Linked DNA regions of Daphnia pulex. The protein of the gene in region 2 binds, or shares a complex with, the protein of the main gene of each other region. Links are inferred from orthologs where the notes say so. Each region holds a gene or a part of one and is shown on either strand. Other genes may lie near its edges.

Region 1 (3,645 bases), on a different chromosome or scaffold from region 2:
TCAGGAGTTGGGCCACCATGAACCTCGTACGCAATTTAGTGCCAGCCAAATGGAAATGAATCCAATCCGTCGAGCATATCGTTTTCCCCTTGATTTTGTCTTCTCTAAACTTCAATCTAGATTGGTAAGTAATAATAAGTATTAACAGAACTTAAAACTTTTGTTATGGGTAACATTTCCCCGATTTAGTTCGAGCAGATGTAATGTGAACTAAAACACTTTACTTTTAAAAATTAATTAACTGTCCATTTTGTGGTTGTGAGACTACTACATAATTCATAAAATCTGTGTTCTAATTCTTTTTCTTATTCATAGGGCGACAAAACTCAGATTACTCGCTATTGGGTTGGTAAATATCTTCTTGCTGGATGGCTGGTTTTGGGAATTACCTACAATCTGAAGTACAACTCTCATGTAAGTATTTGCCTCTAATAGTGGACAGCACCCAAAATACTACATTTTAACTTTTAGGACTGGACTCGCAAGAAAGGATTTGCAATTTTCGGCTCCAGACCCGCAGTTTACCCAGGAGATCCGAACTTCCCTAAAGTTTCCGATAAAATGAAGCCTTCTGACTACGCCGACTACGGATTCAAAAACTCCCCCATTTAGATTCTATTTCATGTTTCATACGTGGTTGGAAGAAGTAGTGAAAAACACAAATCCTGCTGTACAGAAGAGAGAATAGAAAAAAGGGTCAAATGTATTTGAAATCATTTCTTTTTCTCTTTGATAGCTATGACATATCGTTGCGCCACCATCAAAGGCGGACTGAATCCTTCAGTATAGCTAGAATCTTCAAAAAGAACTTGGTATTCATCTTGAGCTGTTTGGGGTAATTGATTGATTACCGCTTTGTAAAAACAGGTCGTTTGTGGATACAAAGCCATGACTAAAAACAAATGTTTAGTATGTTAATAATATGCTAACGTCGGATCAGCTAAAATTTGCGATTTTTTTGTTTTGTTTTTACCAGTGGCTCCTTTTGAGAACAAAGCATCGGGATCGGTTTCAGGATTAGCTCGCATCAAAGGAAGAGGAATTACTCTGCGTTTGCTTAAAGTGTGTCGCTCTTTCTGTTCCTCGTCAATATCATCCACTTCATAGCGCCCAGAAGAAGCTAAATATTGAACGACTTCTGCCAAAATCCAATTCTCATCGCCGTCTGTACTCTTTACCAAAGCCGCAACAATATCTCCCAGCTGACATACATATAAGGTGTTTCGGTTAGTCAATTAACAGTTTATGACATTCGAATAATGTAATACTTTGGCAACGTAAGTTGGGTCAGCTGGAACTGCTCCACATAATGCTGGTGGCTGTTGTCCTGACTTACTGATCCACAGCGGGAGAGTTTGAGCAGTAACGAGAAGCATTTTCATGAGAGCACCTCTTCTTATAGTTTCCTTACTGCCAGCTTGTTTTGCCTGAACAAGAATGTTAGTACAATGTTAGGTGAAATTTTCTAAGTTTACGTTCTTGGGAATAACCTGAATTCTCCTTTCATGTCTGATAACGCGAATTTCATAGATTTTGCTTAATGCCTTACGAATAAGGTCCTCTTCTTTTTCAGCATCAGCCACCACAGAGCAATACAGTCCTTTTAATTTAGACTGATAATTTTATAGGCATTCATTAGTGCTGATTAATTAGTGATATGGGAATAGAAATACCTTGTGATATGGAGAAATTTTGTCATCTGACTGAAGTTTTTCATGAGCTTTGATAACAGCATTTAAGTTACCTTCATTACGAACTTTCTCTTCTTGAATCTGCTTGACCAACTTGTAGATCCCCTTCAATCGTTCCTGCACCCCAATCCAAATTAGAACTAAGTAAATACCTTAACAACTGATTATATCAACCTTACTTGGACTTGCTGTGTGGCAGAATCTAATGACAAAGCCATGATGTATATGTTTAATAACAACTACCTCTCCTAAATGATGAGCTCAAACCAGCAATGATGACTGGAATCCAAGCAAAAGCCACCAAGAAAACCAAGAACTAAAGAAAATTAAATTCTGAAATTTACATATCTTTTATGCACAGAAAAATAACCTTACTAAATTAATGAAGATGAGTTTAAAAACAGTCATCGGAAATCAGCCTTCCAAACAATAAATTGAAAATCGTAACATCGGCAGTTGCTTTGTCGTCACCATGGCAACTATGGCATCAACTGTATTAGTTCCATTCGTCATTAGCAGATGGCATGAGCATGCTCAAATTGTATAACCATGGCAATAATTTCTAAATCAGGCCTTTTTTTCGAGTGGTTTTATTATATAGCCTTTGATCATTTTCAACTCTCAAATTATTTAGTTATTTTGTAGTCAGTTATTTTAATATTTTGCACATCCCTGTAAAAATGTATCGGCATTGTGTGGTAACTTTTTGGTGATGACTGACGATAACTATTCCACCAAGAAAGCTCACCTGTTAATTTTTCGATAATTTTTTTTATCTACTAAATGTATTTCACGGAGATGACGAATATTTCGTTTATTTTCCGTCCCATTCTAGTCGTCCGTGGATGCTCAGGGCTGTCACTAGGTGGCTAAATATTTCAGCGTGTTTAGGGATTGAACTATTCAGCTCTAGTGTGTTTGTTTCTAGAGGGGTGTAGGGGGATGGGTCATCAAACTGTCAAAGTCCTGAGACGACTGACAGAACAGTCTTTCTTTTGCTGTCGAGACGCTGTCCGAGAAGGTAAAATTTAGTCATTGCTGGTACTTTCTTACGTGACATTGTTGATCATAGACATGGTAATTCCATTTTTTATTCTTTAATTTTATAAAATTTAATTTTGTGTGTGGTTCAAAACGTGTAACATTGTCTTCAATTCATAATTGGTAATCGCATGTGGCCTGCTGTACATTCCCACAATGTCGTCTCTTGCTGAATGTTGCACGTTTCGTTCCATGCAGAACAGTAAAAAGTAATTATTGCTTAACTTTTTAATTCAAGACTTTGTTTCTGAATTAAAATTGTGTGACTTTGTTTCAAAAAGTAATTTAAATTTTTCTATTAACTGTTGAGCAGTAAAGCCTGAGCTTCATTACGTTTTGTTTTGCAAATTGTTTCAATTTCCAGTTGAATTATGCCAAGAGCTTTCACAGACATGCACTTAACTTGTTAGAACACTCGAGTGGGTTAGAATTTGCCTATATTTTAGTCTACTTTAAAAGTGTGTGCTACACATGTGATTTTTGTCAGGAATCAGGTCAGACATTGAATTCTCGATTTAGATGACATTTTACAACAACTATATGTTTCTAATTAAGAGCTTTTGTGAAAAGATTTGCTCAATAGAATTGTATTTTTTAAATATAAAACAGAAATTAACCCTTTCTTGTATTTGAAAATGTAATTGGTTCATTGTTTTCCTTTGAACTTGATTTACAGGATTTCTTGGTTAGTTTGATGTTGGAGCTGCCAATGGTGTTGATGCAGCGTTCATGGTGTGAGCAGTGGTTTTGCAGTCATTTTCCAGTCGAGATGTCTTGAGGGCGCGTTTTCGCAATGGAGCTTGTCAAAATGGAATTTTCGCAAATGGAGCTTGTGCAGACATTCACTTCAACATCATATTTCAATGTGATATTTACGTAATGTTGATGTTCTTGCAGTGTTGAATGGTTGTGC
Region 2 (3,610 bases):
TAATTTCAATTTACTCTAAAATGCCTTAATATACTAACTATGTAGGTGTTTTTTGTGTTTGAAGGCTACGACAGTTGCATGTTAAATCCAGGCATCCAACGGAAGGTAAAAGTATGTCTGAAGCATGGATCACAGAGGCTGTTATCAGTTATGATTTCTTGCACAATGACACCACAAAACCAATGCATGCGGTAGGACTAGCTGGACTAGAAATTGATCCTCAATTCAGAGGTATTCAGTTTACCAAAATCATGGTTCCTTTTTAATAACTAATTATTGAATTTTTCATTTCTATTTTAGAAGCAATAAAGGTTTTGTACAACAGAAGTAGGGTTGCCTGTATACTTCAAAAATTTTCTGATGGAGTGGATTGCTCACTTTACCCTCCACTGCCAAGTTTGGATACGACCAATTTTAAGTTGCTGAAGCATAAAGCAGAAATTGAAATCACCTCCAAATATATTGCTGGATTTGTTCCTATGCTGAACAAATTTTCACTCACTCGCATCGCAAAGATAACTTCAGAGTTATGGCGATTTTTGCTATTTTTATCGCAGGATTATTCCCATTACTACAGTTCAGTTCGCACCCTATGTGTGAGTATTCTTTATTCAGGTTTCTTGCATACAATTTTACATTAAAGTTTCCTATTTTTAGGATGAACACAACCGATCGCATCCAACAATGCACGCACGAATTTGGATGTTGAAAGTGATATTAACAATTTACGACGCAGCTTTCGCCATATTGAATTTGAAGCCCTTGCAGTACGTTTAAATTACAGTGCCAGAAGTCGATGTCCAGGAGGAGGAACACCATTTCTTCGGAATGGAGAAAAAATTGAGTTGTGTGTATTGTTGAACCGTCTGATGGCCTCAGAGACTTCCGCTGTTTGAAGAGGTTTCATCGAATTTGACCATGTCGGCTAAAAATACGGAAATTTTGTTTTAAAGAATGATTATAATTATTGTAACATTCATTTTAATCCTTTTACCTTGAACAAATCAGCATTCGCTGGAGATACTCTTGGTGCAGTGTTACGTTGAACTGCGTCACTCACTTGCCCAGCCATATTGTCTCTTCGTACTATGAAGGCCAGATCTACTATTTGTGCGATGGTTTCGTAAGCAAAGTAACTGAGAATAGACCAAGCTGTCGCACTTAAAGCAACCTCAGGAGCTGGAGAATCTTTAAGTAACCAATCTTGAAATTTACCAGAAGGCTGGCCTCTCTTAAATGAGGTAGATTTGGCCTGACAAAAACAATTCTGTTAAATCTAGATTTTGAAAAAGCAGTTAGGTTGAATCAAAATACTTGAGAATATTCAATGTACTGCCCCTTCTCCATGGCTAATGTCATTCTCTCAATCCTTTCATTTCGTTCCTTGAGGGCATCATCAGGTAACAGGAAAGGTTTAGATGGATCTGCCACATTACACAGATAACATGATGGATCAAGGTGTTGTAGGAATGCAAGAGCAGAATTCAGTTTTTTATTTCCAGTGTGAAGATCAGAAAATTCAGTCATTATGTCTTTAGGCAAATCATCTTCTTTTGCCAAATCCTTAAACCCACTGGCTTGTAAATAGGTGCAAAATCTTCTCAGTTTAACTGGACTGTGCCTAATTTAACAGAAATCACTTCAATATATTGAATAACTTGAGATATTGTTAAACTGAAGGTTACCTACCTAAGTAAGACTAGAAATTCTTTGATACCAATTTTCTTTGAGTTAATTTTAACAGCAACCTCAGACAGTGCATTCAGGAACTGAATTAGTTGTTCCTTCACAATTTTCTCTACTAATTCAGCAGTTTCTTTCAGCGAATATTTGCTGTCGCCAAATCCATACATCATTTTTTGGATTTCTAAACATGTCGAATTAAATGTAGTTAGGAAATGTTGACATTGTTGGTCGTTAATATGAACTTACCCAAGATGTACCATCCATCGGTGGAAGAATTAGTGGATACATCAGCAGCTGGCATTTTTAGGAGATTGAGAATTTTGCTAATTTTTACAAAATATCAGTTGTGTTGGTATAATTCGTGTACCAAATAGTAATATCAACCGGTGTTTTCTAAAACTCCATTTGTTATTGTTTGAAGTCTGAACTGAACCCTAAAAGAAGGTATTGTGTGGTAGTCTGCTAGCCTAGCTAGACATATTTGAATTTGCCTCAATGCCAAAGCTAATTTTGAAACTATTTCAATTTTTTTCCCAAAATTTAGTAAGGAAAAAAAAATCTTTATTTTTTATGAACTTTTGAATGAACCACGCTTTCATTAATCTTAAACATTTTTCAATTAAGAAAAAAAAAAACCAAGCGGATGCCTTCGGTACTTCGTCGACACATAGCAGACGAAAATGTCGAAAAAATCAAGGACCTTCAATTTGTAAACAAAGTGTGACAATCGAGATAGAGTCATGGCTCTTTCTCAACTTAAATCATTAGACACAAATTATCTGACAGGGGTTCGAGAAAAGCTCAACCTATTGTTAGATAAGAAAAATGCAAATCCGGAAGAAATAACAAATTTCTTGGATAATCTGAACACCCTTTTCTTCGATCTTAAAAGGAAAGAATTGGAATCGTCGTCAGTCAATGTTCAAGTAAGATTCCATAAAAGTTATATTCATTTCACTGTTTAAAATCTTATGTTTATAGGATTCTGTAATTTTAGTATCAGATGTTTTAAAAATTGTGAAACATGAAGAATCTTTTAAAGTTGCCAAGACTTGTCAAATATGGGAACAAGTTTTACAACTTCCAAATGTACACTTAACAAGTCAAGCATCAGAGCAATTAATTGATTGGATTATAAAATCCCTTAAGAATGAAAATCATTTAATATTTACTGACATTTTCAATTGTCTTGCTGTGGCAGTCAACTTCAAAGAAGTTAAACAAACTAAAGTAGGTCTGAAACTGGGAATGAATGAAAAATTTTGAACAATAATGTTTCCCATTGAAATTACTAAATTAGGCTTTGGAGAAAGTGCTTAGTCCTTCTGGATTCTTGATCAATAAATTGAATGAAGAACAACAAATCAATAATCAAACAGTTCTCATTCTGAAAATTCTCTGCAATTTTACCAACTGTTCGGGAGAAAAGGATTGGTCTACAATATCAAAGGATGTAATTAACACATGTATCATCCAGTTCATAAAATTCCAAGAGCAACACCTAAATTCCGATCCAAACAATCTTAACCTTCTCAAGGTAAAACAGTGTTTCTTATAATGTCATGAAGAAATTTCTTAACCACATTCATTTATTTTACTAGGTTCTTAGTCTTTGTTTCTATGGATTAGAGAATACATTTGTTAGATTTACTGCTTCAACAGTGGCTCATTTGGAAAGTATCTTTAGTAAGGCTGCACATTTCGGAGACCTGCTTATTTGGATATGATATATATTCTTTATCTAAGGTCTAGCACGATACTACATGCTTTTTGGAATCGCTGGTCAGCCACTAAAGTACGCTCCAATTCGTCCATCATCCCTTCCATTTGTGGAACTTTCTTCCAAGTCAGATCAGACGAAGAATCCGAAGGTGAGAAAGAAACGTCCTCCCAGCAAAGTTCAATCCAAGAATCGAGATAGCAA

Evidence for each region.
Region 1: transcription initiation protein SPT3 homolog (region 2) and SAGA-associated factor 29-like share a complex: the UniProt entries of both Drosophila melanogaster proteins name them as parts of the spt-Ada-Gcn5 acetyltransferase (SAGA) complex. The link is inferred for Daphnia pulex from reciprocal best matches to the Drosophila melanogaster genes Spt3 and Sgf29.

What each region holds. Positions count from the first base shown.
Region 1 is NC_060019.1:9,072,364-9,076,008, reverse strand, and holds SAGA-associated factor 29-like, read right to left. Parts: upstream 2,187-3,645; 5' UTR 2,067-2,186; intron 2,008-2,066; 5' UTR 1,910-2,007; coding exon 1,871-1,909; intron 1,809-1,870; coding exon 1,674-1,808; intron 1,614-1,673; coding exon 1,491-1,613; intron 1,428-1,490; coding exon 1,269-1,427; intron 1,203-1,268; coding exon 974-1,202; intron 893-973; coding exon 714-892; 3' UTR 686-713; downstream 1-685. Other genes in the region: uncharacterized protein LOC124191408, read left to right, coding at 1-124, 316-414, 472-612. UniProt on the Drosophila melanogaster protein: Component of both the SAGA and CHAT histone acetyltransferase complexes, which both predominantly acetylate histone H3.
Region 2 is NC_060027.1:750,267-753,876, forward strand, and holds transcription initiation protein SPT3 homolog, read right to left. Parts: upstream 2,152-3,610; 5' UTR 1,988-2,151; coding exon 1,933-1,987; intron 1,868-1,932; coding exon 1,690-1,867; intron 1,622-1,689; coding exon 1,315-1,621; intron 1,253-1,314; coding exon 995-1,252; intron 956-994; exon of another isoform or gene 926-955; coding exon 779-925; 3' UTR 778-778; coding exon of another isoform or gene 658-777; 3' UTR 597-657; downstream 1-596. Other genes in the region: DALR anticodon-binding domain-containing protein 3-like, read left to right, coding at 65-231, 301-596, 658-777; HEAT repeat-containing protein 6-like, read left to right, coding at 2,427-2,612, 2,668-2,916, 2,987-3,223, 3,288-3,372, 3,433-3,610. UniProt on the Drosophila melanogaster protein: Component of the transcription regulatory complex SAGA, a multiprotein complex that activates transcription by remodeling chromatin and mediating histone acetylation and deubiquitination. The SAGA complex predominantly acetylates histone H3.